3 linked regions of the Cricetulus griseus genome follow. The protein of the gene in region 1 interacts with the protein of each later gene in a biochemical or structural test. Links are inferred from orthologs where the notes say so. Each region holds a gene or a part of one and is shown on either strand. Other genes may lie near its edges. The genes, in order: Hif1a, Naa10 and Usp20.

Evidence for each region.
Region 2: the proteins of Hif1a (region 1) and Naa10 form a complex in vitro, tested with the Homo sapiens proteins (4 studies listed by BioGRID and IntAct, with this or other methods). The link is inferred for Cricetulus griseus from reciprocal best matches to the Homo sapiens genes HIF1A and NAA10.
Region 3: of the proteins of Hif1a (region 1) and Usp20, one has a biochemical effect on the other in vitro, tested with the Homo sapiens proteins (2 studies listed by BioGRID and IntAct, with this or other methods). The link is inferred for Cricetulus griseus from reciprocal best matches to the Homo sapiens genes HIF1A and USP20.

Annotation. Positions count from the first base shown.
Region 1 is NC_048598.1:129,457,178-129,468,137, forward strand, and holds part of Hif1a (hypoxia-inducible factor 1-alpha), read right to left. Parts: intron 8,606-10,960; coding exon 8,499-8,605; intron 6,992-8,498; coding exon 6,844-6,991; intron 5,096-6,843; coding exon 4,875-5,095; intron 4,289-4,874; coding exon 4,002-4,288; intron 3,131-4,001; coding exon 3,008-3,130; intron 2,884-3,007; coding exon 2,438-2,883; intron 802-2,437; coding exon 687-801; intron 1-686.
Region 2 is NC_048604.1:1,829,283-1,839,593, forward strand, and holds the end of Naa10 (N-alpha-acetyltransferase 10), read left to right. Parts: intron 1-409; coding exon 410-508; intron 509-895; coding exon 896-954; intron 955-1,832; coding exon 1,833-1,878; intron 1,879-1,959; coding exon 1,960-2,075; intron 2,076-2,288; coding exon 2,289-2,333; intron 2,334-4,258; coding exon 4,259-4,343; intron 4,344-4,927; coding exon of another isoform or gene 4,928-5,018; coding exon 5,019-5,252; 3' UTR 5,253-5,328; downstream 5,329-10,311. UniProt on the Homo sapiens protein: Catalytic subunit of N-terminal acetyltransferase complexes which display alpha (N-terminal) acetyltransferase activity. Acetylates amino termini that are devoid of initiator methionine.
Region 3 is NC_048599.1:142,693,976-142,705,035, forward strand, and holds the start of Usp20 (ubiquitin carboxyl-terminal hydrolase 20), read left to right. Parts: upstream 1-4,254; 5' UTR 4,255-4,375; intron 4,376-4,679; exon of another isoform or gene 4,680-4,891; intron 4,892-11,060. Other genes in the region: CUNH9orf78 (telomere length and silencing protein 1 homolog), read right to left, coding at 837-907, 1,827-1,878, 3,411-3,470, 3,786-3,868.

The sequences.
Region 1 (10,960 bases):
ATCTGTTCTATGGATAAGCTAGCCTCAACTGTCCCCAAAACTTAATGCTTCTTTAAAAAAATATTTTAGATTTATTTTTATTTTATGTGTCTGGGTATTTTGCCAGTGTGTATGTGTGAACACCACAGGTGTATGGTGCCAGCAGAGGTCATAAGATCAGATTGGATTTGCTGGAACTGGAGTTGCAGAGGGTTGTGATCCATTGTAGTGGCATCTTGCTCTGTCAGTGTTATTTGCCAGTGATGGCCACATGAGACTGCATCTTCTCTACCTTATAAAGGGTCACCTCTGAACACCTGAAGCCACGCCCATAGGGTGTGGCCACCACAAGTTCACTGGCAAAGCAAGATACCACTACCATGTGGGTGCTGGGATTTGAACTTGCATTCTTTGGAGAAGCAGTCAGTACTCTTGACTACTGAGCCATCTCTCCAGCCCCAGTGCTTCGGTAATAAGCAAAATAATTTACTGGAAAGAAAATGAGAGTGGTGTTGATACTGAGGGTAAAGTAATGGGCAAACTTTACTTCTTCCTCTAAATTTATCTGCCAGGTTTGTTTTTCACACCTGAATTTATTTCATTAAATACAAGTTTTTTTGTTTTTTTTTTTTTTTTAAAAGCCCCATGGTAGCTTTTGAAAAATATAACTGTAGTATTTATTTGGAAGACAACACACCACTACTCACACTTACAATCCCTGCTGCTTGAAAAAGGGAGCCATCATGTTCCATTTTTCGCTTTCTCTGGGCATTCTGCAAAGCTATTATCTTTGGATTTAATTCTTCCTCAGGAACAGTATTTCTGGAAAAGAAAAAAGCAACCATTCTATAGAAGACCACCACTGTTCGTGGACTCATATTTTGGGAGACTACTGAAATGCAAGATGACATTCATTTTTGTATAGTATTTTCAATTTATACTTGTTTTAGCTAGACGAAGAGTTACACACCTATAATCCCTGTTTGAATACAACCTAGCTACATTTTAAGTTTAAGGTTGCCTGGACTACACTGTGAGAACCTGCCTCAAAACCAAAACAACAACCAAAGAAAATTTACATTCATTTTAACCTTACTCTAACACTTAAGGATGGCTATGACATGTACTCCGTAACCATTTTATAAACGAGAAACTGAGGCCAGCTAGGTAGTTTGCTCTAAGTCCCTCTGCTGATTAATTATAGCCATGGAAGTACATGCCAGGTCTTCACATACCTATCTCCTCCACAGGGACCTCTGCACTCTACTGGTCTGGCCTCAGTACTGACCAATATATTCGAGTTGCTGTACCTGAAATATTAGGCCACAAGGAATTATGATAAAGTCAGTTAAGCTTCTCGTATTTGCTTTGGTTTTCCAACAGAAAGCCAAATGGCTAAGTCATATATGACTAATGATTTTATAAATGTAGGTTTTTAATTTTAAAATATTTATAAACCATGTAGTATATAAGCAAGCTGGTTTAAAATTTTTATGTATGTTATGTTCATGAAATATAATTCAGTCTATCATATAAATATCATCTCTGGTTGTACTGTTTATCTACTTATGTGGTGTGTGTGTATACCACCACTCATCTTTGGTTTTAAGCTTGTAATTCTCCTGACTCAGGTGCCTGAGAGCCTGGACTAAAGGCATATATTACTATACCCAAATGAAAATACTGAATTCATCTAAAGCCCCAAGCATTTTTCCTAGCTTAAGAAAATGGCAGCCTGTCCTAGCACTTCAGACGAAGGGGGAACAAAGATCCACCCAGTTACAGCAGCGTCCTTTCGCCTGCTATCAGAGGCAGCTTGCTCTGTCTAGGCACAGAATAGAAGGAATCATTTTTCTTTCACTCACTAATTAGTGAAAATTACTTCCCTGTAGGTACAGCTTCAAATTTAAAACACATCAAATACCATTACATATTATATACAGAAATTCTAAATATTTGCTCAACCATTGTTTCATCCCATAGAAACAATATTGTAAGTCATTCTAGAACTTTTGGTAGATCTAAACAAAGCTTATTTTCTTTATAATAATAATGATAACACAAAAATATGCAATGAAGAATAACAGTAAGTTTAAGGCTAGAAATTATATGCAAGATTTTAAAAAGAAGGCCTGCAAATATCCATATTTACAAGTGAGGACTAAACACCACCAGTTTTCAGTCTGGGATGGGAAAGAACCATTTAGCTGAAGGGCTTTTCTTCAGGTATAAACACCTGACATTTTTTTGCTTACCGGCCGGACTTAGTTTTAGAGGTGTTGGAAGACATCCTTCTGACCTTCTATACTTGGACAACTGATAGGATTGTGTGGGAGAAGTTATAAGGTAACTTTATGATGTTCCTTAGAGCACATGTCAGAAAGATGGCTATATATTTAGAAGTCATTTAACGTCACCTATGTACTAGAACATGACAGAACAAATATGTTCCAAATACCTTTGACTCAAAGTGACAGATACATTAGGGCTCCTTGGATGGGCTTTCTCTGTCTGATCTCTGACTCTCTTTCCTGCTCTGTCTGGTGAGGCTGTCCGACTGTGAGGAGGAGCACTGTATGTTGATGCTGTAGCAGCTGTCGTTTCTTGAGGTACATGGGTAGAAGATGGAGATGCAATCAGTATTTTAATGTCTTCTATATTGTCCTTCGTCACTGTTTTTAATTCATCAGTGGCGGTGGTGGTTGTGGTGGTGGCAGTCTTGGCAGCAGCGGCAGTAATGGTAGGTTTCTGTAGCTGGGTCTGCTGGAACACTGTCACTGTGCTCACACTTGGAGGGCTTGAGGAACTGCTCTCTAATGGTGACAACTGATCAAAGGAGCGCAACTGGAAATCATCATCCATCGGGATATAGGGGGCCAGCATCTCCAAATCTAAGTCAGTATCCTTTCAAACAATAAATAAATAGAAGAGTTTTTATAATGACCACATCTTGTAAAAGAAAAACAAGTTAAACCCAGTCACTATGGGCTAAAAATTAATAAAATACAAAATAAGTGAGTCAACACACCTGAGTTGAAAATGGATTCTTTGCTTCTGTGTCTTCAGCAAACAGCTTTTCGACCAGTTCCAACTTGAATACATTGACCATATCGCTATCCACATCAAAACAATATTCACTGGGACTGTTAGGCTGTGAAAGGAGTTAGGAGTATTTACTTTTTCCTGAAGAAGTCCTTAGGTTTTCTTGTTAATAAGTTTCAAGCACATAGATATTATAAAGCTTTATCTAACTAAAAACTATGATTGAAAGATTTGTTTAGTAGGCTGTGGTGGAGCACACCTCTAATCCCAGCACAAGGGGAGGCAAAGGCAGAAGAATCTGTAAATTCAAGGCCATCATGGTCTACAAAGTGAGCTCCAAGCCAAAAAGGGTTACATAGTAAGACCCTGTCTCAAAAAAAGCAAAACAAAACCAACCAACCAACATCTCCCCAAAATTTGTTTATTCTAAAGAATAAAATTCACCAAACAATTTAAGTTCTACAATGGCACCTAATTATCCAGTTAACGAGATATTTTCACTGGAATCTTATATTCATCATGTTAGGAGTTAAAGGTAAGAATTTTAATAAAAAATACTGTAGCTTGGTATAACAGTTTGCTTTTCCTAATTTTTCATTAGATCAATGACAAAATGAATCAAATACTTACATGCTGGGCAAATCAAAGCAAAGAGTATATTCTCCAAAAGGGTTTGAGATACCATATTGCTTAACTTACACCTGCCAACTTTAATTCCTAACAGTTTAATATAGAATCCAGATTTATTTGTGCTTCACTAACCCAGTTGCAAAGTTCAAATCTAAGCTCTCCTGCTCCCAAGCACAGTGTTAATAGCAGAGAGCTCTGAAACAGAATTGTTCTGGATTTGGAAACAGTTGTTTGTGACACTTTCAACCCTGGTCCAACCTAGATATTAAAAAACCACTTCTGTTGGGTTTTGAGAACTATCAATATCAGGCATATTTATCCTTTATCTTTTCTTTCATCATGGTACTCACCTCAGGTGAACTTTGTCTAGTGCTTCCATCAGAAGGACTTGCTGGCTGATCTTGAATTTGGGGCATGGTAAAAGAAAGTTCCAGTGACTCTGGACTTGGCTCTAATTTTAATGCAACTTCTTGATTCAGTGCAGGATCAGCACTACTTCGAAGTGGCTTTGGAGTTTCAGGGGCAGGTAACGGAGACATTGCCAGATTTATATTTGTGATTTTTTCATTAGATGAGGGGAACATTACATCATTATATAGTGGAACATCTTCGAGTTGTTGGTCTTCAGTTTCCGTGTCTGTAGAGGAAACATTTCTTCAGTCTAAAGAACATCAGGATTTTAACAGTCATAGATATTTTTTACCTTTTATAAAAGATTTGTGATTCACTCAGTTCTCTTTAACTGGAAAGTTTATGGACATAACAGCATGATCATTAAGTCTGAGTTATCTTTTTTGTCCACCACTGACAACTCCTAGGTTGTGTATCTCCAATCTCGTTATAAACTAAAACTTAGCCTAATTTGAAGTAACATTTTTCATTTTCATCTTTGCTTTATGGCATGATTGCTTTGTTAATCGTTTAGCATTTACCTAATTACACCTATTGCATTTTAACTCTACTGAATGGTGCAGCTGGGTGGCAGGGAGGGTATTAGAGGGTACCTTCAGGATACTCTGAACTGCAATTCCCAACAGAACACAAAAATAAAAGTAGGAAGGCTATGAAATTTCAGAAACAAATACATTAAACAATACCTTTGAAATACTATTAAAAAAAAGTGTAAGCATCATGCAAATACGTAAGCCAAGAAAGTGCAGCTGAATTGGGACAGGAAGCAGCAGACACAGCTGAAGAAGTGGACAGACTAATTAAGCACCCACCATCGCTGCCAAAATCCAGAGATATGATTGTGTCCCCAGCAGCTGGGGCCAGCAGGGTTAGAGCATCAGGTTCTTTCTTAAGCTTATCAAAGAGACAGCTTGTATCGTCTGATTCAACTTTGGTGAACAGCTGAGTCATTTTCATATCTGAAGATTCAACTGGTTTGAGGACACATTCTGTTTGTTGAAGGGAGAAAATCAAGTCGTGCTGAATAATACCACTGTCAAAAAAGGAGAGATTAGTATTTGTAAATTAGCACTTGACATGATGATAATAAGGGGGACTGTGAAACAACCTTGTCTCTTCAATTATGCTTTATATAAAAAAAGCATCTCAACATTCCTTGAGATGAATAATCTCTCATGCATATTTGCCACATTTCTTTTCCCTCCCAGTGCTGATGATTGAGCCCAAGACCTTTGCACACTAGGAAAGCGTTCTACTATTGAGAAATGTGTATTATTTTAGAACACCAATATGAAGCCGGGCGGTGGTGGCACATGCCTTTAGTCCCAGCACTCAGAAAGCAGAGGCAGGTGGATCTCTGTGAGTTCGATGTCTTGAACTACCCCCACCCCCCAAAAACAATAAAAACATCACCAATATGAAAATAAAAATTTAAATAAAATTCACTAATTAAAATATTCAACTTATTTGAATTGAAACATTCTTTGAGAATAGGGGTGGTGACAAGAACACTCGAAACACAAGCAGAGTAAGGCATTTGTGCAATGCACACAATAAAAAGGCCACAAAATTACTCGTCAGCATTAACACATGAGACATCATCTACAGATGATCTTACAATATAATGCTAATGACCATAGTCTTTATGAGAGGCGCCATACTTTCTTGGTGGAAATAATATAGTGATGTCATTCATAAGATAGGAAAGAAGAGGGAAAGGGATGATGAACAACCACCCAGCTTCATGTCTGGCATCAGCGTACTTTTAGCTAACCCATTACATGTTCAATTTATGAAACCAACTAAGAATACAAAGACTGATGTATACAACCCTTGCCTTCAAGTAGTTTATATCCAATGTGAAATGGATAAGATCACAATACACTGTGATCACTCCTAAGATGGGGAAAGGATGTTTCATAGAAAGGTGAACAAGCTGGAATTTGGGCTCAAGTAACAATCATGAGGCAGACTGGGAGAGGAAGAATAGTTTTATATAAAGGCAAAAAAACCACAAAAGAACTCTTTAAACTAAGATGATTCTTTGGGCTTAGAAGTGGTAAGGCATGGAGTTTGATCCTAGCATCAAAAATATCCCCCCAAAGAAACAATAGAAACTAGAAGTTGTAAGAACAAAAACAATGGCCCAAAGTCTTCACAAGACAGGTGACCTGGATTTTGGTAGCATCCGTGAAAGTTATGCTGGAGAATGCTGGCACAGCCCTGCAAACCTACATAGGGCAGCTGAAAATTCAAGGCTGGTCTGGTCTACAGTGAGTTCTAGGCCAGCCAAGCCTACTCACAGTGAGACAGGAAAAAAGAAGGGGAAGGGTATGGAACATAGGAAAATGAGCTATCCACATTAGAGAACTCTGCCTGGCAATTAAATTAGAATGTTTTGGTCATGTGAAGAGTGACTAAATGGGGCACAGCTTGCTGAAATAACTTATAGCATTCATGACTGTAACAAAAGCCCTGTGTCACAACACACAGCCTGTCACAGTGCCCTCCTACAAGACAGCCATTTAACTTTCACAGAATCTTTTGGCCCCAGGATAGCAGCTGCTTAAAACACAACTACCAGGAAAACAGATCCACAGACTGATTAAAAAAAAAAAATGATACTCTTTTGTGGATCACTGGAATAGCTGGTTTGGAAAGTTGGGCCAGAGTATAAATCATAATCCAGTAGAAGAAGTAAAAATAAAACTCAGTTTTTATCATTTTATATCTTCTTAATAAAGGCACATAAATGTAGAAAGTGTCTCTTCACAATCTTACCTCACAACGTAGTTCACACACACAATGCACTGTGGCTGAGAGTTCTTTGTATTATATATGACAGTTGCTTGAGTTTCAACCCAGACATATCCACCTCTTTTGGCAAGCATCCTGTACTGTCCTGTGGTGACTTGTCCTTTAGTAAACACTAGGGATAATAAAGGATTGCAAAGAAAACAACTCAATTTTCAATAAAAAAAAAAAGTGATGAATGTAGACTGTTGGGTTTTGTTTTTTGCTTTTTTTTTTTCCAGGCCAGGGTCTCTCTATGTAGCCTTGGCTGTCCTGAAACTCCTTATGTAGACCAGGTTGGCCTCACACCCAGAGATCTGCCTGCCTCTGCCTCCCCAGTGCTGGGGGTAAAGGCTGGTGCTGCTGTGCTTGACTGAACCATTGCTGTTGGTTTGTTTGTTTGTTTCAAGGGAGATATACTTAAATAAATAGTTGTGACTGTTTAAAATGAGAAAGGCCAAACATACCTAAAAACAAACCCCAAAGAAATTTCCTATCTTAAGCCAGGAGTGAAGGACAAGGTGTCTGCAGTTTCTTTAATGACTTATGGTGAAAGTGTCAGACTAGAGACTGATCACAGGGTACATTTAAGAAAATGGAGCTGGGTAGTGGTGGTGCACCTCTTTAGTCTCAGCACTCAGGAGGCAGAGGCAAGCAGATCTCTGTGAGTTCGAGGCCAGCCTGGTCTACAAAGCTACATAGAAACCCTGTCTCAAAAATAAAAAAAGGGGCTGGCCAGGTGGCTCTGTGGTTAAAAGCACTGGCTGTTCTTCCAGAAGTCCTGAGTTCAATTCCCAGCACCTACATGGCAGTTTACAACTGTCTATAACTCCAGTTCCAGGAGATCTCACATCAATGCACATAAAATAGTTAAATAAATTCTTTTTAAGAAAAAAAAAAAGAAAGAAAATGGTACCAGTTTTTTTAAGCACCAGAGAACCAATCACTGTAAAAAATTATACTCAGAACATTTGAATATATAAGTTCATGTCATACTATAGCCTTCTGTCAATTCATGCAGTCTAAATTAATTACTGACTTAAGAGAATGTAGTAAATCAATCATGATGATGCCGTTGTGAGTATCCATGCTCTGACTACAACTTAGGCATACTCTGTAGTTCAAGGCAAATTACACTAATTCAATGATACTCAACTCAGTACCCTCAATCATATTGGGAAGTCATGTTTAGGTCCAGATTAAATAGGCAAGTGAGGAATTATGAAGTTTAACTTAGTTTGGTATCATAGATTTATTTGAGTAAAATTCAGAAACCTCCTATATGTCAAGGGTGTCAGTTATCACATGTGTATACTAATCCTACTCACTAGTTCATGAACAAATGCTTTGTGACTACCTCCTATTGACCAACCACTGATTTCAGTACATATGTACGTAGGCTAGATAATCTATAATATTTGACTTTTATGGGATACTTTATGTATTTATTATTAAATGACTTTACTTTTTGCTAATATTTGTAACAAAACAATAATTTCATTATCAAGACATCTTATGAAGGGGCTGTAGGATGCTTGTCTAAGGAGACTGGGTGGTAATTTTAACTAGAAAGTAGAGGTACAGTACAGACTGCAGGACTTAAGCAATGACACTATTTCCTTGAGTTCCTCTACTGTACTTACTGTCATGATGAGTTTTGGTCAGATGATCAGAGTCCAAAGCATGATAATATTCATAAATTGAGCGTCCCAAAAGTTCTTCTGGCTCATAACCCATCAACTCAGTAATTCTGTTTAAAAAAAAAAAAGATTATCTTTTGCTTAATAAGTTTAGAACTCACACTTAACTATTCTATACTTTGGCTGGGCAGTGGATTCCTTTAATCCCAGCACTCTGGAAGCAGAAACAGGTGGATCTCTGTGAACTTGAGGCCAGCCTGGTTTACTGACAGAGTTCCTGGACATCAGGGCTATACAGAGATACCCTGTCTCAGAAAACAAACAAAAAACCAAACAACAAAACCAAAAAACACCCCATCCCCCCCCCCCCCCCCCGGCAAAACAAACCAAACAAAAAAACCCCAAATTCTGTACTTAGTATAAAGTCACTTAGATCAGTCCCTGATATCTGACTTATCCCTTTTACCCAAACTCATGACCTATTTTTTAAAACACATTTCATTATACACACTGTTGGTATCAAAGCAGGGTATATTAGTAAATCTTAATGATGCTAAATGAAATGACAAAAGTTCCAAAGACAGTCACAATTATCTTAAAATACAGTATAAATCTATAGCAGTTTATTTTTCATTCAGTGAAAATCTTTACCCTATTTTTAGGCCTGTGGCAAGGCCTCACTTTAATATCAACTATAAAATTTCACTATTAAGCCAAGGACATCCATACTAAATGGAAAGTAAATATTAATTTTCTAAAATTAAGAGGATTTCACATGAAAGAACGGCATCTAAAAGAAAAAGGGCTGAAAACGGATTCAGGGAGCCTCCTGGTCCCTGGGTATCAGCCTGGAAACCATGAGGACCCATTTTATGAGAAAGACAAGTCTGTCCTCGTCACATTAAACCAATTACAAACATTTTTCACTGAAGTCTTTCTGGGAACAAACATGAACCAAGTGTTGACACTTCTCAGTTTAGATTCCAGAGGACTTAAAAAAAGCCAACAAACAAAAAAACCAAGGTGCAGGTAAAAGATACTCATATGTCTAAAAAGCAAACACCTAATTACAGAATGGGCATAAGGAAGGTATCTTTGTTCATAACAGTATGTTAAATAATATAGCTTAGCTGTTACAGTTTAAGATCTGCCATTTACTCTAAAACCAACAAAGCAGATTTATTGAAGCATAAATCAAACTTTGACTCTTCAAAAAGGGATAACCAAAATACACCAACACTAGATGGCAGCATTACAAAGATAAATAAAATATACTTTAAAAATATGTGTTTTCTCCTTCATCCCAGAATGGTAGTAGGGATTAAATCTAGAGCAGTGATTCTCAACCTTCCTACTGCTGAGACTCTCTAACACAATCCCTCATGTTGTGGTGACCCCCAATCATAAAATTATTTTCATTGTTACTTTATAACTAATTTTGCTACTGTTCTGAATCATAATGTAAACATCTGTGTTTTCCAATGGTCTTGGGCCCCCTGTGAAAGGGCCTGTCAACTGTCAAAAGGGACATGACTCACTGGTTGAGAACCCTGATATGGGGGCTCACAATGCTAGACAAAGGTCCTCCCTACCCCATCTTGGTGCTGGTGATTTGGAGCTGGTGATTTGTACTAGTTTTCAGTTTTAAATGTTTGCTAAGAATTTCTTGCTCTATACCACCTCAGAATCAAGACACAGAAAAAAATTTGCCCAATTTTAAGAAAACCTTTACATCACATTTCTAGCATCCAGGACCATTAAAATGGGCCATCAGGTAAGGCACCTGCTACCAAACTTGGCAGCGTGAATTCAGTTTCTGGAACCCACGTGGTGGAAGGTGAGAATGAACTCCCACAAACTGTCCTCTGTCCTCTACCTTTGTGCTGTGACCCACATGAACCCACATACATGCACTCACACATGCTACCGCTGAGTGTGGAGGTGCATCTAGCCCTAAAAATTATTTGAATTGCTCTTACATAGTTTTACACACGTAAATAAAATTCCAACATAATGAAATACTTTTTAATTAAACATTCATGTTTCTGGTGTAATTCTAGACATGAAAACACAATGAGAAAACCTAACCTGTGGGCAATCTTCTGGTAAATAACTTGCTTGTCATTTTATTATATTTAGATTTAATTGCACACTTTTTCTTTCTTTCTTTTTTTTGAGACACAGACAGACTACAAAGTCCTGACTAGACTGGAGTCCGTATGTAGTCCAGGCTGGCTTTGAACTTTTGGTGACTTCCCTGTCTCAGCCTCCCAAGTGTTTTGAGATCACAGACATAAACCACCACATCCAGAATGTACAGCATCTTTTGATAAATAAAAATCTTCCCATCTACAATCCTACAAGAAACAACTGATGCATTTCTAATAAGAAATTGGCATAATCTGATCATTACCTTGGGAAGCCCTCTTTGGGCACAATGGGTGTAAGAGTAAAAGGGCACAGAT
Region 2 (10,311 bases), on another chromosome or scaffold:
GAGGTGATGGGGAGCTAGCCTGTCCACAACCCATGGGCGCCTTGCCGGGTGACCGCGTGCACATGCTAACGAGGGACCTGGTGCTGTGGTCCTCCACGTCTGCGGCCGCTGGACCTTAAGGCTGTTGCAACCTGCCCTGGACATTTCGCGATTATACTATCCCGCGTTTGCCTAATGTCAGGGCTCCATCGAGTGGGCTCGCGACCTCCAGGCGGTACTGCTCGGTCCTTGAGTTGGCGCGTTTTGCATGGCTCATGGAAACCAGGCTTGTGCAAAGTCATATAGTCACAACCCTGACCTGCCCGGGGAAGGGGAGGCCCAGAGATTAACAGAGAACAGGGGCCCCGCATTCGTGAGGCCCTTCTTAGTCACTGCAGTCCTGGACTAACCGTGTCCCGCTGTCATGCAGCCCGAGGACCTGATGAACATGCAGCACTGCAACCTCCTCTGCCTGCCCGAGAACTACCAGATGAAGTACTATTTCTATCATGGCCTCTCTTGGCCCCAGGTGGGCAGGTTTTGCGTTTTGTAAGGGTGTAAGGGACAACAGAAGGGAATCATGGATCTGAGTGGGCCAAAAGCACTGGGCAGTGAGATATACAGTGCCTTGGTACAGCGAAGCCATGGCTGATGGGGAAGCCTGGCAAAGGAAACAGTGCAAGGGATTGTAAGCTAGACACAGGTGGGAAATGGGATTCCCACCTGTGTCTGTGCTTTTCCAAGAGAGGGCACAACTGTGGAGTAGGGAATCTGGGACCCTTGCATTCCAGGCCACCAGCTGTCACAACTGGACAATTTTTGCTGCTTCCCACTATCCTACACACAGCAGGAGGCTGGCAGTGAGCTCTAGCCTGTTGCCTGCTCTGCCTGACATCCTTTTCCTCTCTGTTACCAGCTCTCTTACATTGCTGAGGATGAGAATGGGAAGATTGTGGGGTACGTCTTGGCCAAAATGTGAGTCACCAAGGAGGAAGAAAAGAGCCTAATTCTAAGACTGGGGGTTGAGGAGCTGAGGGAAAAGCTTTGGACAAGGGAATGGGAAGCCAACACCATCCACATCTGGTGAACATGCTGTGGATTAGTTTTAGAGGGGTTCTCACTCTTTTGCCAGATTGGGCTCAAACTTGCATCAGTCTTCATGCTGAGCCTCCTGAATGCTGGGATTAACTATGCCCAGCTTGCTGTGAATTGTTTTTTAATTAACAGCTTGTTGGTAGGGTGTTTCTAAATTGACAGAAAGATTGAGCAGAAAGTACTGAGTATTTCCACACACCCCCTCCTCCACATTTGTTCTCTCACTACCATGTATGGTACACTTATTAGAAGTGAGAAACCAACACAGATTTTGTTTAGATTGATGTTTTCATTGTTGGGCTTCTGTGTGTCACACACCCTCTGAGTTGGGCAAATGAAGAGTGTCTATCCACCTTTAGAGTATTCCATCCTTCCCACAACCTCCAACAACAAGGTTGGTCACCTTTTAAGAAGGCTGCAGAGTTGAACTAGGAACTTATAGCTCTTTCAAGCTGCCTCCTTTCATTCAATGCTTTGCATTCAGCAATACACTGCTACACTTTTTGTGTCTTGGCAGCTGACTTTTGTTGTTGTCAATCACAGGCTAATATTCTGTTGACACTGCACATATCTACTGGGTGTAGCATGGGGGCTTTGAGGAGGGCATGATTGGTTATTCTGATTCAGAAGTTCCTAGTTCTCCTCTGCCTGGATCTGGGGTGCTGTAGGGTCCATCACGATGTCTGTGCACTTGATGTGTACAGGTGTCCGGTACATACTGGACCTGTACCAGGCTCCTTTCTAGCTTTCTCCTCTAGGGAAGAGGACCCAGATGACGTGCCCCATGGACATATCACCTCACTGGTGAGTAGAGCTACTGAGGGTTTGGCAGAGGTGGACTGGAGGTAGCCTCCAAGGTCCCACTAGTACCCATCCTTCTCTCAGGCTGTGAAGCGTTCCCACCGGCGCCTTGGGCTGGCTCAGAAGCTGATGGATCAGGCCTCTCGAGCCATGATAGAGAATTTCAATGCCAAATATGTCTCCCTACATGTCAGAAAGAGGTGAAAGACAAGCTTGGGGAAAGGACAATGCTGGGGAGTGGGGAGGAAGAGGTACCCCATTGATAGGGGTTCTGGGGTTTACTGCCTTCAGAAGAAGATGGTAAGTAGCATTAGTGGGAAAGGAAGACTGGGAAGAAAGGCAGGGCCTGGATATAGCCTGCCAACATGCCTGGTCAAGTTTCTGAAGCTCAGTAGTGCCTTATTCCCCTGCAGTAACCGGGCTGCCCTGCATCTCTATTCCAACACCCTCAACTTTCAGTAAGTAGATCAAGATTTTTTGTTGTTGTTGTTGTTTTGTTTTTAGAGACAGGGTTTCTTTGTGTAACTGTCCTGGCTATCCTGTAATTCACTCTGTAGACCTGGCTGGCCTTGAACTCACAAAGATCTGCCTACCTCCCAAGTGCTGGGATTAAAGGCATGTGCCACTACCTCCTGGCAGATCCAGATTTTTTAAGTGGCGTGATCCATCCTTTTAGCTAAGGTGAGCTAAGAAAGGGGTGGAGGAACTTCAGTCATTGCTAGGGGTCCTTCTGTATACTCAGTGGCTGTTCACTGACAAGCTAACATGGAGAAGGCACCTGGTTTCTGTGTGTGTGGTAGAGGAGGTGTCCTGCACATCTTGCTGGATAGAGGAAGTATGGTTTGTTACTAAGTGCTAGTGAGGCTGGTGAAAGGAATTATAGTAAAGAACACACAAGGCAGCTGGGCGTTGGTGGCGCACGCCTTTAATCCCAGCACTCGGGAGGCAGAGGCAGGAGGATCTCTGTGAGTTCAAAGCCAGCTTGGTCTACAGAGTGAGTGCCAGGACACGCTCCTAAACTACACAGAGAAACCCTGTCTCGAAAGAAAAAAAAAGAACATACAAAGCTTCTTAGTGCTGGTCTAAGAGTAAAGAGAGATGATTAGGGCATGAGCAAGGGTTGAGAAGTGACTGGCACCAGGAAGCATTGGGTGAGAGGAGATGAAAGGGGATGGCAGAGAAAAAGGGCCATGAACAAAAGTAATGAGGGACCTATAGCTCTGGATGTCCTGATAATTGATGGCAGGTCTACTCAGGACACAGGCATCTCCATGAGACTAGGATTGGAGAAAGGAACTGGCAGTGCCTACTGCCACTTGAAAGTGGGGCTGGAGTGAACTGATTGGAGGACCCATTGAGTCACACTAGGCTTTGATGGGGTAGAGTGAAGATGGGACTATTGGGACAGGACAGTGGCCTTCAGGCTTTTCTGAGTTCACTACCTAGATTCATGGAGATCTTTGACCTAGTTAAGTATGCCTTTGGTGGGGACTGCTTCACATGCAAAGTGAGCAATTCCCAGCTAGGTGTGGTAGTACATGCCTCTTAATCTCCGCATTCAGAAGGCACAGGACTGTGGGTTAAGGGCCTGGCATAGGGAGTTCCAAGTCAGTCTCAGCCACACAGCAGACCCTGTCTCAAAAGGGGGGTCCTAAGGAGATAGCTTAATTGTAAGAACCTGAGTTTGATTCCTGGCACACATGTATAAAAGCCACATACAGTGCCCTGTACCTATTATCTTAGTGCTGAGGAGGTTAAGACAAGAGAATCCCTGGGTACACTAACCAGTCAGCCTAATTGAATGTTCAAGGTCCAGATTCAGTGAGAGACCCTATTTTGAAAAACATAAAGTGGCCAGGCGTTGGTTCCGCACGCCTTTAATTCCAGCACTCAGGAGGCAGAGGCAGGAGGATGTCTGTGAATTTGAGACCAGCCTGGTCTCCAGAGCGAGTGCCAGGACAGCCAGGGCTACACAGAAAAACCCTGTCTCAAAAAAAAAAAGTGGGAAGCAATTGAAGAAGATACCCAACATATATCTCTGGCCTACACATGTACACATGAGGATGTGTATACACACAGCAGTTCTCTTGTCTTTAATGTCTTAAGAATTAAGGGCTTCACTCAAAAGACACAAGTCCTTGCTATTCAGGCTAGGGACAGAGAGCAGTGGCAAGTTTAGGGATGGGAAGTATCCTGGATGCTACATTGCTGCTTGGCTTTACTGAAGAGAACAGAGAAAGCCATCATGGCTGTTGGAAAAGAGTCCATTCAATGAAAAATTTAAAAAAATCAATTCAGGCTGGCTTTTGCCTCCCCTCTGCAGAGGGAGATGACAACCACCCTAGTAGCCTAAGAACCAGGTGTGTCTCCATCCTACCCCCAGGATCAGTGAAGTGGAGCCCAAATACTATGCAGATGGCGAAGATGCGTATGCCATGAAGAGGGACCTTACACAGATGGCTGATGAGGTAAGAGTTCAGCCAGGCCAGGGCAGCAATTCCAGCAGTAGAGGGGATTCCAAACTTGGGAAAGGGGGCTACTTAAGAGCTGTGACTCCAGGGGCAGTGGTGGCTGGAGGGAAGACTAAGGTTGATTGTCAGCACTTGTAGCTATAGTGGTAGGAGTCAGAGTCCCCCTTTCCCTCACTTCCTAAGCCTACAAGTAGGGGCATGGCCTTGGTTGATCATAGAGGAGGCCATGAGATGTTCTTGGGGGAAGAAGCCTGCAGGTGGAATAGGAGAGACAGTAGGAAGAGTTTTCTTTCTATCTCGGGACTGGGATTACTAGGGCCAGGGGCAGTCATGGCCAGCCTGTTCAGATCTAGGACCAATCTGGGCTGGGAAGAAAGGGTTCCTGACCAAGCCTCCTGGGGCTAGGGCAATTCATGCTGTGTCTTGGGAGCTCCCCAGAAGCCCACTTGAGGGCAGCAGGACCCTTGACATTTTACAGATGAGGAAACAGGCTTGGGGCAGAGCTACCATTGAACTGCATCTCTACCCAGTCCTATTTCCTGCCTTGGCCCTACTGCCTCTCATTGTATCCTTCCCCACAGCCAGCCCCAGGGTCTGGCTCCTCTTGTCTCCTGTCTGGAGACTTAGGCCCTATCTCTTTCAACCCGCTTCCCTCTGGGCTCCCGTCGGCAGCTGAGGCGGCACCTGGAGCTGAAAGAAAAGGGCAGACACATGGTGCTGGCAGCCACGGAGAACAAGGCGGAGGGCAAAGGCAACATGCTTCTGAGCTCGGGAGAGGCCTGTCGTGAGAAGAGTCTGGCTGCTGAGGACAGTGCTGGGGACAGCAAGGACCTCAGCGAGGTCAGCGAGACCACAGAGAGCACAGATGTCAAAGACAGCTCAGAGGCCTCTGACTCTGCCTCCTAGAGCCTGCCCCACCTGGTTCAAGCCTCCCCCCATGTGCTTTTACAATAAATGTGGTCCTGTGGCCTTGGGGAATTTGTGAATGTGCCAGCTCCTTCATGGTGGGGATATCATCTTCACAAACCAGAGCCCACTTAGCTCACAAATCATTTGGCGAATCTGGCTACCTTCAGCAACTGAGTAGGGTTCAGCTTAGGTGCCCTATTCTGTCACCTTCCTGGCCTGCAGGCCCCATTGACTTCCTTACTAATTTTCCAGGGCTGAACTAAATGATTCCTTGGGGCTTTCTAGTCAGCCTCGGGTTTCAGAGGCATCTTTCCCACCTTGATGCTCTTGGCTGTGCTGCTTCGACCTCTTAGGTCCCACTCTTAGCCCTTACTTTTAGAGAGGCTGTATCTCCTTGCCACTACACCCAGTTTATACAGTGCTTGAGATCTAACTCAGGGCCTCTTGCCCATTAGACAAGCACTCTAGGAACGGAACCACACTCCTAGCCTTAACTGTTGGCCTCAAAGTCCTGATCCTTTAAGGGGTTCTTCAAATTCTGCCCTTCACCATTACCAGGCTAATCTCTTTTGTTTACTCAACTTCTTGAGACAAATTGTCCTTAGCCCAAACTGGCCTGGAACTCATACCCCAGCTGGCCTCAAACTTGTGGTAATCCTCCTGCCTCAGGCTACAACGTGCTGGGATTACAAGTGCGAGCCATCCAGCCAGTTCCCCCATTAATATTTTGTATTTGTTGCTATGCTGAGACATTTCTGCACATTGTTAGCTAGTCTTTGGCTACCATTAGGATAGCCTCAATGTCTTCTAACATTTCTGTGACTTCTGGTAAGTGCATAAAGTCTAATACAGCAATTTATCTTTTTATGTTGAATATAAACCCTCAGCCCCCCCCCCCATTTGGTTTTTTGAGACAGGGTTTCTCTGTGTAACAGACCTGACTCTCCTGGGACTCACTCTGTAGGCCAGGCTGTCCTCGAACTCACAGAGATCTGCTTGCCTCTGCCTCCTGAGTGCTGGAATTAAAGGCTGTGTGCCCTCACCACTTGGCTTTTCCCCTCTTTTCTTTCACAAGGTCTCAAGTATTTCAGGGTGGCCACGAACGAATTTGCTATGTAGCTAAATCTGGCCTTTAATCCCAGTCCTCGGGAGGCTGAGGCAGGCGGATTTCTGAGTTCCATGACAGGTTCCAAAGCTACAGAGAAACCCTGTCTCGAAAAAACAAAACAACAACAAAAAAAACCCAAAACGTAAGTCTCTTGTTTTAGTCTTCCAAGTACTGGGGTTTCAGGTGTGAGCCACCACTCCAGGCTTTTTTTTTTCTCCCTGTCTCCCTCCCTCCCTCCCTCTCTCTCCCTCCGCCGTCCCCCTTCCCTATTTCCCTCCCCTCCCTCCTCCTCCTCCCCCTCCCTCCCTTCCTCCCTCCCTTCCTCCCTCAAGCTAAAAAGGCAAAGAGTCCACGTCTCAAACGCTTTGTCACAGTGTCACCCTTGCTTTAACACTCTCCTAAACGTGTTTTCTGGATTCTAGACCATCACTGATGACTGCTAGGTCCTAGGTGTGCTCTTCTTGGGCCGCTCACCTAACTGACAACTGAGCTGTCACTATACTAACAATTTCCCTTCTCAAGCCGCCCATCGCTAGGTTGGATAGTTTGTCTTGGAGCTTAGTTCTTTATTTGGTTGTAGAAGTGATCCATTAAAACCGAGAAAGCGGATAGAGAGCAGAACCTGAGAAGAAACTTGCGCCTGCATATGGCTGTTCCTCTACCCCCCCCCCCCTTGTGTAGTTCAAGCGAAACTGAGTTCTGATTGGCTACAGTCACGTACTTCCTTTTGTACGAATCAAGTCAGCGTTTCCTCTCGCCTACCGTGTTGACTTCACTCTGGGTTCACAAACAAGGTGACGTTCTTAGTTCCCAGGCTCTGATTGGTTCTATAGCACCAGAATAAACGCCTCGCAACAGAAAGGGCAGACATGCGCACCGGCTTGGTTGCGCCCCCAGAGTTGGTGGGCGGGAGCACGAGAATGTTCCTAAGGCACTTACGGAAGCCCACCCCTCTGCCTTGGTTGCTTGGGTGTGATTGGCGGCCAGTTGAAGCTGTGCTGTCTGCTCCGCCCCTAGTTGGCTAGGTTTCCTGGACGGACGTGGGAGCTGTGGAGGGGGAAACCGCAGGCCCACACTAGGGCCTAGCACTTCCCCTGCTTCAGCGCTGCCTTACGTGCCTTGTGAGCTGAGGCTGGAAGGCATAGGATAAGGTGGCTGGGCTTGACTCCAGGGACTCTTCTTCAGGATGTACCCTCACTGCCTAATGATTTTTTCTCTCAGGAGCCCTACGTCTCTCATCTCCCTCTGTCCAGAGTAGCCAATTAGTCTGATCACATCAGCCTTGTGGTCATTCTCCAGGACCAAGTGCACATTCTTCCACGTATTTAAAAAGGTCTTGAGGAGCTGGAGAGATGGCTCGTCAGTTAAGAGCACTGACTATTCTTCCAGAGGTCCTGAGTTCAATTCCCAGCAACCACATGGCTGCCCACAACTGTAACTCCTGTTCCAGGGGATTCGACACCTTAACTTACACAGAGAAAACATCAATACACTTAAGATAAAACTTTAAAAAAATTTCTTTTATCACCCCGGACACAGACACAGTCAGCTTGGAGTGTTTTTGTTTGTTTGTTTGTTGTTGGGTTTCTTTGTATTTTTTTTAAGACAGGGTTTCTCTGTGTAGCCTTGGGGGCTGTCCTGGAACTTGCTCTTGTAGACCAGGCTGGCCTCGAACTCACAAGAGATCTGCCTGCCTCTGCCTCCTGAATGCAGTGATTTAATGTGTGTGACAACACTGGCAGCTCTGAGTGTTTTAACTTTTCTATAGCTTCTGGTAAGTGCAAAAAGTCAAATATATTGACCATTATGGTTTCATGTTCAGTATAAACACCTGGATGCCAGACTGGCCTGCACAGTGAGACACTGTCACAAATAAATAATCCTGTAGATCTACCCCTTTAAAACTCTATCACTCTTTGTAAATATTTATTTTTATTTTTGTATCTCTCTGTCTCTCCTCTCTCTCTCTCTCTCTCTCTCTCTCTCTCTCTCTCTCTCTCTCTCTCTCTCCCTGTGTTTGTGTGTGTGTGTGGGGGGGGGGTCCCTCGGAGTACAGAAGTGGGTGTTAGATACCCTAGAAGTGAAATTATATAGTTGTCAGCTGCCTTTGGATTCTAAGAATTCTGTCTTCTGGAAGAGCTCTTAACCACTATGGAACCATCTCCATTGCCTGTCTTGTTGGGTTTTGTTTCTGCTTGTTTTCACAGTCTCCATATTAGTCCCGATCTCTGTCTCAGGATGAGCATCACCTCACCTAGGTTATCTGATTTGAGACAGGGTCTCCCTCTGTAGCTTAGGCTGGCCTGGACGTCACCCTGCAACCCTAGATTGCCTCTGAGCCACTACTCACCCACTCTCACCCTGTCCTACAGGCTTTTGTATTCTTAAAACAGGAGCTAGCCTGGTGAGGTGATGATGCACGCCTTCAGTCTCAGCAGGAGACTGGAGCAAGGGAGGCAGGAGCAAGGAGATCTCTATGAATTCAAGGCCAGCCTGGTCTACATAGGAAGTTCCAGTCTTTCCAGAGCTACTGAATGAACCCTGTCTCAAAAAACAAAAACAAAAAGAAGGGGGCTAAGGAGAAGGTTCAGTGGTTAAGAGCACTTGTTTCTTTTGCAGAAGATCTGAGTTCAATTCCCAGCACCCACATGGAGGTTCATACTCATCTGTAATTCTAGTATCTAGGATCTGAGACTTTCTTCTGTTCTCCATGGGTATCAAGCACACACACACACACACACACACACACACACACACACACACACACACACACACACACAATTTGAACATGCATGCACATATAGAAGCAGAACACATAAAATTAAATGAATATAAATCTAATAAGATTTTTTAAAGCCAAAAAGGAACATGCCTGCATTCAGGAGGCAGAAGCAGGGTAATTCCTGAGTTCAAGGCCAGCCTGGTCTATATAGACCCTGTCTCAACAACAAAAAACAAAACAAACAAAAACAGGAACAGGAGCTGAAGATACAGAAAGCAGTTTCACTCATGGCTTAGATGCCAAACAAGTATCCTAAGAGCAAGAACAAACACTCAAGTCTTCTGTTTGCTTTTCACTCCATTTCATGCCAAGAGACTGAATGTGGTAGCATTCAGATTCCTGGATTCAGGACTGAGAACATTTGAAGGCCAGTTCAACAGCCATTTCTTGTTGCCTGACTCCTGAATCATGCCCTGGCCTAGCTCTGCTGGGTGGATGACAGACTCCTGCAGATTGGTCAAGGCTCAGATAGAATGGAAGGCAGGCAGGGTGGGTTGCTTTAACTAATAAGAGCATGGGTGTCTGGTTCCTCTTAGTATGAGGCACTGTTGGAATAAGTGTCTGCTGATAAAGCAAATTCACAAGGATCGATGCCCATTCATGTGCTGTGAGAAGAGATACAGGCTTGCTTGATTTGATGGAGGATTCCAACATTGCTACTGGAATGCTTCTGGAAGTCCAGGACCTGGGCCTGTGAACATCAAGCTAGCTTCCAGACCTTTTCTTCAAGATTCTGCGAGAATCTGGCAGCATCTTAGAGAAGGGCTTTGGTACTGGGAGCAAGTACAGACCAACAACTAAGAGACTAAGTATTTTTTTTCTGGCCAAGAGAATCAATTGCACACAATTGAAGGGCCAGAATAGTCTCCCTCTCCTGCCAAATCTCCAGGCCAGTGTCACATGTGCTCACATGCACTTTGGCATCCATGCATGCACATACAGATCTAGACTCCTTTTGTATTTTACTACCTTTTAGCATGTCTCCTAAGCTCCTTGTCTGTCTCTCACAATCTGTATACCCCCAGGGCTTTCTCTTCATAGAACTGTAGATAGGTGGTTTATCACCTGCCTCCTGCCTTGCCAATTTAGTAGAGAAGCTTGGTGTGATTGTGCACACCTGTAACCCTGCATTTGGGACAGAAGCAGAAAGATTGCCTCAAGTTTGA
Region 3 (11,060 bases), on another chromosome or scaffold:
TTGAAAACAATATCCTAGGTATGGCATCATATACTCAGCTGATTACAAAAATATAAAAGTATCACATTGCTAAGGGCTGATCATAGGGCTTAAATCTCCTTTTTTGTTTTTTGTTTGTTTGTTTTTCAAGACAGGGTTTTTCTGTAGCTTTGGAGCCTGTCCTGGAACTCATAAAGCTCCACTTGCCTCTGCCTCCCGAGTGCTGGGATTAATCCACCTGAAATTTCCTTTTTTATAACTGCATGTTTGCTGCTGGTTAGGGCGCAGTATGAATAAGATGTGCCTGGCTAGATAGAATCATTTGGCTTGCAATATAAAAATTAATGATAGGAGGTAAAGGTCAAGGACATCAAGGGAGTGGGGAAGAGGAAAAGAAACTAAAATGGGTAAATGTTTATGATTCTGGGAAAAGATTAAAGAGAAATGTATTGATATTGCTCATGCTTGAATGCATTAGAACTTGTATAAATAAAAACGGCTTGAACTATTCAGGGCCGTCTATTGAAAGACAACTGGTGGTCATACTCTTATTTTTGGCCAACTTTACACCTCTGTCCTGTGGCTTAGAACCCTGCTGGAGCTGGACTCTGGTATAATTTTTGTAACTAGGTTTTCATACAAAGCTTCCCCATGTTTGAAATAATGAACAAGGTCCTTTACAAATGGATCCTTCTCTCTTGGCTCCGAGCCCCCCACTGGGGTTTCTAATTAGCATAACCCCTGGCACAGCATGGAACTTGCAAGCTCTACAGGGTGTCCAGGCAGCTTCATCCCCGGCTCTTCCTGCCAGCTAAGGCCCAGCAACAGTGTGTTTGTGCCCAGTACCCTCCACTTACTTATCTTTGCCCCTCTCCTTCAGCTTCTTCATGTCCACCATGCCACCTGTCGTCATTTGGAAAGGGTCATCCTGCGGAAAGCACACTGCTTAGAGGAAGCATCTAGAATAGTAGCATCAGAGTTATTGTGATCATCTGTGAGTGTACAGGTGCACGTACACATATGTATGCATACCCGTGAAGGTCAGAGGTCAACGTTGTAGGTGTGTCCTCAATCATTCTCCACCTTATTTTTTGTTGTTGTTGTTTTTTGGGGGGTTTTGTTTTGTTTTGTTTTTTGTTAGACAGGGTTTCTCTGTGGCTTTGGAGGCTGTCCTGGAACTAGGTCTTGTAGACCAGGCTGGTCTCTCACTCTGACTCCCAAGTGCTGAGATTAAAGGCATATGCCATCACCACCCAGCTTTTCTTACTTTGTATGTGACCATGTTTGTTAGTTTTGTGTGTGGACAGTGTATATACATGTTTGTGTGTATGCATGTGTGGTTGTGGAGGCAAGAGCCCAAAGTCAGGCATCTGCCTCAATCACTTTCCACCTTAAATATCTCAGACAGAGAACTTACTGATTTGGGTAGACTCACTGGCCAGTCAGCTCCAGGGCTCCAACTGTCTCTACTCCAAACCTTGCTAGGGTTACAGATGGATGCCATCATGTATAGCTTTTGTGCTGGGTACTAGGGGCCTGACTCAGGTCCCCAAACTTGTGCAGCAAGAACTTCAGCACTTTACCCACAAAGCCATTCCCCCAACTTATACTTTGAGAGAGGGTATCTTAGCTTTCTTATTCAGCACATCGTCCTAATCTGCCTCCCCAGTGCTCAGATTATAGGGATGTGTCACCATTCTCAGTTTTTCATGTGGGTGCCAGGAATCCAAACTTGGACCCTTGTGCTTGCACAGGAAGCACTCTGACTAGCCATCTCCCTGGCAGCATGGTTATACATTAGAGACACACTCACAGAAGAACAGCCCCAGAGAGGAGACAACACTCACCACCAGAGTAGTCTCCTCTTGAACCTTCTCTCCCACCAGCAGGGCAGCAGCACTGAGCAAAAGAAAACAGACAAAGAAATGACACAGAGACAAGAAGGAAATCAATCAATATGCTGGCTAGTTTGTTTTGTCAACTGAAACAAGCCAGAGTCACCTGGGAAGAGGAAACTTCAATTGAGAAAATGCCTCTATCATGTTGGCCTGTAGGCAAGCCTGAGGAGTATTTTCTTACTTGTGATTGGTGTGGGAGGGCCATTGTGTGCAGGGCTCCCTTCCCCCTGGGTATGTGGTCTTGTGTTGTATAAGACAGCTGAATGTAAACCTGGGAAGCAAGCCAGTAAGCAGTGCTCCTCCATGCTCTCTGCTACAGTTCCTGCCTCTGGGTTCCTGCCTTGTCTTCCCCCAATAACTGAATGTAATCAGAACCTTTCCTCTGCAAGTGGTTTTGTGTCATGGTCACAGCATAGGAAGCAATCTGGGACAATCAGGTTTGCAGGCTAGAGCACTGATGGAAGGGCATGCCCAAGAGTAGGTAGGAAAGAACACAGTGCTCAGCACACTGAGTGGGAGGGTGAAAGGCAAAGGAAGCAGCTGTGCATGTTCCTGCATAGCCATTTGATTTCATTTTAGCCTGGAAATCACAGTATAATTTGGGTTTTCCAGACAGGGTTTCTCTGTGTGGCTTTGGAGCCCATCCTGGGACTGGCTTTGTAGACCAGGCAGTCCTCAAACTCACAGAGATCTGACTGCCTCTGCCTCCCAGAGCACTGGGATTAAAGGTGCACATCACCACTGCCCGGCTCCCACAAAGTTCTTAAATATAGGGTCTATATTTAATTAAATATAGGGTCTATATAACCCAGGTTGCCCTCAAACTCCCAGGTTAGGATTAGAGGCATGCACCAACAACCACCACAGAAATCATTTATTTCTTAATTATACTTCTCTAATTTTTCTAAACTCTTATCTGTCAACACGTTGTCATTCACAATTCATCCGTGCAATTAAAAACTCCAATTAGGGCTGGAGAGATGGCTCAGAGATTAAAAGTACTGGCTGCTCTTCCACAGGTCCTGAGTTCAATTCCCAGCAACCACATGGTGGCTCATAACCATCTGCAATGGTGTGCAAGTATACATGCAGGCAGAACACTGTATAAGTAATAAATAAAATCTTGAAAAACAAAGCAAAACAAAAAAAACAACTCCAATTAGCAACAGGGTGGTGGTGATGGCTCATGCCTTTAATCCCAGCACTCAGGAGGCAGAGGCAGGCGGATCTCTGTGAGCTCGAGGCCAGCCTAGTCTACAGAGCAAGTTCCAGGACAGGCTCCAAAGCAATACAGAGAAACCCTGTCTGGAAAAACCAAAAAGCAATTAGTGACCTGGAGTAGACTCTGATACCACCAGGCTCAGGGCATGTGGCAGTTACACATTTGAAAAAAAACTGGTCCCCTCTTCGACCAGTGCAAGGTGTATGTCTAGAGAAAGAACTATGTCGAAGGAGATATTTGTAACTGAGACCCTAGCTGGAAGTATCTGTGTCATCAATAAATGACGCCACCCCCACCCCCATGGTACCCACCTCACCCCGTTTGGCCTCTTCCTTAAGTTCTGCACCTCTCGGGTTTCTTCAAGTTTTAACCTGGGGGGAAATGAATAAAAAGCAATGCACAGGCTGAGAGATCCTCTGCGGAACTCAAAGCTTAACTCAGTTCCGGGGACATCCGTGTCTCTCGGCCGAGTCCCTGGCACTGTGGATCACCGGCAGTCAGACCCATGCGACCCCGGAGCACCTTTCCGAGCTTCGGGACCGGGGAAATGTGGCCTTATCAGCAGGAGCCTCTGAAAGACAACAACCCTGGCTCCCGGTCAGTGGTGTCAGCGCAGTGCCGGCCGGTAGCCAGTCCCAAGGCTGTTTCCCTCTTCCTGGGCCGTGGAGGTCATGCCAAACACGTACCGAACCTCCTCTGATTCCTGCTCATCTTCCTCCGACTCCGAGTCAGCCCGCCGCCGGCGGAAAGTCTTCCCAGTGATCCGCATAGCGGCACCAGATCTTAGGAGCGGCGTTACCTGCCGCGTAGTGCCGGGAACCTCTTTCTCTTCCGGCGCGCAGAAGTGTCGTCAGAGGGCCGGCTGCATGCAGACCCGCCTCCGGGTGTCCAGGCCGCGCCCCAGCAGCATAGCCACCAGCTCCCAACTCCAAAAAGCAAGGGCAGGTACAGCCGCGTGGCCACGCCCCAGCGCCGAGACTGTGCCCTCCACCAGCAAGACAGTCTTCGAACCACGTGGCCACGCCCCAGCAGCACGGCCACTCCCCCTACTCCCAGCATGCATGGGCACTCAGTACTCGCACGGCCACGCCCCCAGCACGCACGGTCCCGCCCCCTAGTAGGCAGCGCCATGTGACCCCGCCCCGTCCTTGGCATAGGCTCTCTCGATTGGACAGCTGACGGTAGGGAGGCGGGGCACGACAGGCAGAGCCACAAGACTCTGCGCGGCGTCGCGGTGGGCGCGCTTGACTGACAGGCGGCGCGGTTGCGACGGCAGGTGAGTTCCGGACGGCTGATGCCTGGTGCGGTGGGCTGGGCCGCTAGAGCAGGGACGATCGCGCCGCCGCTGCGAACTGGGGAGGCCTGGCTTTGCGGGGCAGCCGCGATCTGGGGAGAGGTCCCCGCCGCCCACCCTCCCATCGACCGGCTCCTGTGTCCGCCCCAAGTCCCCACGGCCCTGGCTTCTCCTGAGCAGGCCGCACGTCGCTCGGAAGGCCAGCGCGAGGCCACTCGGGCTCTGGGCCTCAGATGTGCAAATTTATTTCTCACGGACAAAAGCTGAGCGCCTTGGCGGGGGTGAATATCAGTCCCGATACCAACTCCCCCGTACCAGGGTGGTCTGCTGCTACTGGTCCCTAGGAGGGATGCCACTGACGTTCAGAGGCCTCTCCAAGGGTGTGAAGCCGGGGACTGCCCTTCGAGAGCTCGGGGTGTCTCCTTTGGCCTGGAGGACTCGCTCTGTCCTACACACCTTCCACCGCCAAGATGTTGCGAGAGTAGTTAGCTTTCAAAGGTATCCATAAACACTTAGGAGATGGATAAGTGCATGCGTAATGGCTCACATGGGACTTATAGGGACTCCTTAATTACTAGTTTCCTCTGGAGCAAAGCACTTCTTAACTGTGGCAGGGCTAAGCATTCTCTCCTAAAAGTCTCCGGTCTAATCTCACGAAGTAGATGCAGTTGGGTCTGTCTTCCAACTGAGGAAGTTAGAGAAGGCTGAGGCTTAGAGAAGTAACCTGTGCTTCAAGTTACACAGCTGGGAAGGGGAGCTCAGGTGGGGGCATAGTTTTCCCAGCTGTGGGATTTGCATCAGGGACAGCGGGCCTCTATGGCATTCCAGTTCATGGGCTGGGGCGGGGGGGGGGGGCGGGAGACTGATGGAGACTTTTTTCTGGAAAACTATTCTAAAGCAGGGAGGCATGTCTGCCATGCTTTGGCTTTTCTCCAGAACAATTTTCTCTGAGGTTGTCGTTCCTCTTAAACTAGGACAAAGAAGACTGGGATGTCTTGAAACAGCTTTTTTGCATTAATGAAAAATACATTAAGTATCGAAGTCTTGACCTCCCAGCAAGGCTGTTTCAGCCATTGTTAAATGTGTATGGCACTCACTGGACGCCATGTCTCTGTTGGCTGAAAAAGAGATTCCGTGGGAACTGCTGCACAAACCCAGGGAATTGGATTACAACTCTCACAGGCTCAGGGGTGTTTTTGTTTTTTAGATGTGTTCTGCCTACATGTATTCCTGCAGGTCAGAAGAGGGCACCAGATTTCATTACAGATAGTTGTGAGCCATCATGTGGTTGCTGGGAATTGAACCCAGGACCTCTGGAAGACCAGCTAGTGTTCTTAATCACAGAGCCATCTCTCCAGCTCCAGAGGTAGTTCTTAATTTCCCTGCCTGGCCATGCCCTGCCCCGTATCCCCTAGGGTACTGGGCCATGCTGGTACTGGCAAGGAAAGAGTCAGATGGTCGGGAGCATTTTCATACAGTCCTTATTTGAAGACAGAGAGGGACATCTGATACAAAGCCACCCTCGTCCTTGAAGCCGGAGTGCCAGGTGACATCCAATTCCTGGGCTGTGGCAGATGGAGTTGATTCTTGTTTAATTCAAGTGCTGATTAGAGTGTGGCAGCCAGAAATTGACCTAGGTGCCTGGGTGGAGAGACTTCAGCTCCTGTGAGTCATGTTCTTAAAAGTGAGACTGCTTCTGAGAGGGAACCTTCAGGAAAGTGAGGGGTTTTCCTCTTCTAGTTCAAAGATGAGTCTCCAGTTTTAGTTTGGCTTGGACGTTGGGAATGGTGTGGATTTCTCTGTGGAGCTACATGGATGCCCAAGGAGCAGTCATATCTCGATGGTCCCTGCCATAGTAAGCATTCAAGAAATGCTTGTTTGAGCCAGGTGGTGGAGGTGGACACCTTTGATCCCAGTACTCAGGGCAGAGGCAGGCAACCTGGTCTACAGAGAAATTTCCTGGACAGCCAGGACTACACAGAGAAACCCTGTCTCAAAAAAACCAAAAGATGAAGAAAAGGAAAGAAAAGAGAAAGAAAAAAAACTTGTTTGAAGGGGACTGGGGATGCGGCTCAGTTGGTAGAATTCTTGCCTAATGTGCATATGATGCACCCTGGGTCCAACCTCCAGCATATAAACCTGGCAAACTGTTTCATGCCTGTAGTCCCAACCCTTGGTTGGGTCAGAAGTTCAGGGTCATACTCAGCTACATAGAGAGTTGAGGCTAGCTGACTTAAGTCTGGCCCACATTTGACTATCTCAACGTTAAGAAGTCATCTTGGAGCCGGGCGTTGGTGGTGCACGCCTTTAATCCCAGCACTCGGGAGGCAGAGGCAGGCGGATCTCTGTGAGTTCGAGACCAGCCTGGTCTACAAGAGCTAGTTCCAGGACAGCCTCCAACCAAAGCCACAGAGAAACCCTGTCTCGAAAAACCAAAAAAAAAAAAAAAAAAAAAAAAAAAAAAAAAAAAAAAAGAAGTCATCTTGGAAAAAAAAAGTGAGGTGTAGTGACACACTCCTTTAATCCCACCACTTGGGAGGCAGAGGCAGATGGATTTCTGAGTTTGAGGCCAGCTTGGTCCACTGAGTGAGTTCTAGGCTAGCCAGGCTACCTCCTTGCTCCTTCCTTCCAAGCCGCTCCTGAGCCGTCCTCCAGAGAGCAATTCACTGCTCCACACAGCTTCAAGGAGTGCAGAACAGGGCCTGAGCCACCTCTGCACGCTGCTTTTAGGGGTCAATGAAAAGGAAAGGGCGTAGGTTTGGGGCTCTCCTAGGCTGGCACGATTTTTTCTTTTTTTTTTTTAGAAAAACAGAACAGCCTTGCCTTGCTGTGTAGCCGTGTCTAGTGCTTTGAGGTGAAAATTGTCCCTGTGTGCTGCTGGCTGGCACATTTGGGATTGTTGGAAGCCACAGTTCATTTAGATCATAGGCTGCAGGGCAGGTCCCCTGAGTTTGGGTCCTGGCTTTGGGGCTCCAGAGCTTTGTGACTCAGCCAGTTACCCCTGTGCTCAAGGCTCACTTTCCCCACCTCTGGTGATGGATGGGTTGCATCCTGGCCTCCCTGAGCAGTTGTGAGGGTCCTGTGAGGGTACCTAACCTTGGGATAGTTGAAGGTGTGGAGCTGTTAGCAGAGCTCCTAAGGAGGGTCAGTGATGAGCCGGGAGACCTGGAGGTGTGGGAAGTTGGGCTAGTCCAGGCAGGGGGTGGGGATGGATGCCACAGGCCTCTATGTGAAGAACCAAAGGGATGGGGGACTTAGGGAAGTAAGACTGGGATAGAGAGGTGGGCAGTGTCTGGAATTGGGGGAGTGAGAAAAGGAAGGTGCAGGTGTCAGCAAGGGGTGTGACGTGCAGGGAAGGGTCTCTGGTTGACTAGTGAGAGGCTAGCTAGTGGTGGTTGTGGGAACCTGTGTGGGCGGAAGCTCGGCAGTGCCCCCTTCGGATCCCAAAGGACCAGCGACTCCCTGGGAGTCGGAAGAATATTACCAGAAACTCTGGGGAAAGTGATGAGTAACGGGCACCTGAAGCTGCCAGGCCTTTGGAGTGAGTGCGCAGCCGCGCTGCATCTCCTAGACCCCGCCCCCATCCGGCCCCTGAGGGTGGGGCTTCTCCCATTGCTAGCTCCCTGGGAAGGTGCAAGAGCCTGTCCCTGTAGGTTCTGCCCCTTAAAGTCTCAGGTCTCACAGGGCAGGAGAGGTGGGTTCTTTGCCCTCCTCCATACTCTCCAGCTCCAAGACATGGGGGCGTGGGCTAGTGGGTCCCTGAAGGCGATTGCTAGGACCAGCTGCTCTTCAGGGGGCCTGTACCCAGCCAGCATCCTGTACTTTAATGGATCTTCCCTTTCCCTTTCAGCCTTTATGAGAGGCCTGCTGGCACACCTGACCTGCTCCCTTTCAGCTGTGTCCCTTCCTCACTGTGTGACCTCAGGCAGGTGGCTTTGCTCTTCTGTCAGAAACGAAGCAACCAGAGAGGGTTGCTTGAGTAATACGATGAGCCCTCATTCTCCTCCCTTCACCGATTATTGGCGTTTTTCCACTTTATTTTCCATATCTGCATTTCCTAATGTCACTGTTGCTGATTCATGGGAAAGTAAGCAGACGGGTCAAGCAGCCATCAGGGAGTAAGGAAGGGTGCCATCGTGCACAGCCAGAGAATGATTTTCTCTTGCAAAACCTTTACAATAACCAGTCTCCAAGGCTGCTCTGACAACAGGCAACAGGCAGGGATGCTTAAGCAACAAAAATGGTCTCAAGTTCTGGAGTCTGGAGTTCTGGTTTTAGGCTTCAGACAGCACCTTCTCATTGTACTCATGTGGCCTTGCTGTGTGACAGCCTCCATTGCTTGTGTTTGAGTCTCAGAAGCATAAGTCCCACCTGGGCCACCACAGAGACCTGATTTTTACTTAATTATTTATCCAAAGTCCTTACTTCCAAATACCCATATATACTAGGGTGATGGTGCTTAGGAGGTGAATGCAGGGATTTTGGGGGTAGGGTGGGACAGTTGTTACCATGATATCAGTGGTGGGAGGTCCTTAGTCACTGTCATGCTTGCTTAGCAAGCATGTAGAACTGAATTCAGTCATCAGGGTTCATGGGTATGTGGTGTGTGTCTGTAATCCCTGCACTGGAGGGTAAAGATCGGCAGAACTCTGGGGGTCACTGGCCAGTCAGTCTAGCTTAATCAGTGAGCTTCAGGTTCTGTGAGAGAAGTGACACCCAAGGTTGGCCTCCGGCTTCCACACACACACACAAGTAGATATGTGCACCCTCACCCCCACTCCCAGGTAAATTCTTAAAAATTACTATTATCTAAGGTCATGTGCTAGCTTGCTAATTGTTCAGTGATTCCCCCTTAATTTAAAGAGAAGAGTACCACTCTTTCTTTCCCTTCCTCAGTTTCTCTTCTCCTTTCTCTAAGGCTTGTTTGTTTTGTTTGTTTGTTTGTGTAGGTAGCCCTGGCTGTCGTGGAACTTACTCTGTAGACCAGGCTGGCCCAAAGTCAACATAGAGTCACCTGCCTCTGCCCCCCTGAGTTGGGGATTAATGTGTTGTGTGGTTTTTTGTTTTGTTTTTTTTTCTGAGACAGGGTTTCTCTGGATTGTTTTGGAGGCTGTCCTGGAACTTGTTCTGTAGACCAGGCTGGCCTCGAACTCATAGAGATCCACCTGCCTCTGCCTCCCGAGTGCTGGGATTAAAGGTGTACACCATCAACACCTGGCGATTAATGTGTTTTTAAAAGGTTTATTTTTATTAGTTGTTTGGTTGTTTGGAGACAGGTTCTCACTATGTATCCTGACTGGCTAGAATTCATTTCTGTAGACCAAACTGGCCTCATGATCAGAGGTTTCACCTGCCTTTGCCCTCCCCCAAGCCCTGAGGGATTAAAGGCATATGCCACAATACCTGCCTTATTTATATTATTTATTTATTCATTTCTGTGGGTGCATGTACATATGCATGTTTGCATCTGTCTGGAGTTGACACTTTTGGAGAAGTAGGTGTGGTGTTCCCCTGGAGCTGGAGTGATAGGTGGCTGTGAGCCCACATTATGAGTGTTGGATGCAGGGATTTTGGGGGTAGAAACTGAACTCAGGCCCTCTGAAAAAGCAGTAAGTGTTCTTAATGGCTGAGTCATATCTCCAGCTCCTTTCCCTCTTTTTCTTGAGTTTTAATTAATTTTTGAAGCAGGGTCTCACTGTGTGTCTTTGGCTGGCCTGGAACTTGCTGTGTAGACCAGTCTGGCCTTGAACTTGAAGAGATCCACCTGCCTCTGCCTCCCAAGTTCTGGGGATGTACCACTATGCCTAGTTTACACAGTGCTGGGACTCAAACCCAGAGCTTCATACATGCCAGGCAAGCACTGAGCCAGCTGAGCCATATCCTCAGCCCTCTTGGTTCCAGTTTTTTGTTTTATTTTATTTTTTTAGAAAAGGCCCTTCTCTGTAGCCTGGGCAAATCTGGAACTCAAAATCCTCCTGCCTCAGCAGCCTGAGTGTTCAGGTGATAGGGTATGTACCATCACAGGTGGGGTTACTCTCTTATTTAAACTGCCTTGTGTACAACTCTGGGTGGCATGCCCATGCTCCCTATGGTATTTGTCAGCTGATTTAAAGTGAGGTCTGTGTGGACCAATTCCAACTGTTTGCAAAGCTGACTGCCATCCAACCAGCAGGGTGGTTGGCCATGGACAAACTCAGTGACATGCTACCTGTCACTTCCTGTGAGGAATGGGGTAATGAGGATTCTGAGGCTTGCTAGCCGTGGGGCTTTTTTTTTTTTTTTTTTTTTTTCCCCTCTCAAGTTGTAGGAACTGGACTCCAGTTGCTCTTGTGATTTAAAAGTAGCTCTGACCCTGGGTGTGTGGATGCTTATCTGCAGTCCCAGCACGTAAGTCCCCGGGGCAGGAATATCACAAGTTTGAAGCCAGCCTGGACTATACAGTGAATTCTAGACCAGCCTGGGCTACATAGTGAGCCTTTGTATGAAAAACAAACTAAAACAAAATTGGGTCTGTCATTGTCATTCTGTTCTGGGCACTAAGATCATGACAAGACTGGCCTTCCTCAGCATATCCCTCTGGAATGCTGGCATATGTGACAGAGACACTAAAACCCCACCTCTGCCCAAAATAGCACTGGGCCAGTGCCAGCAGGCACTTGGCCTCTGA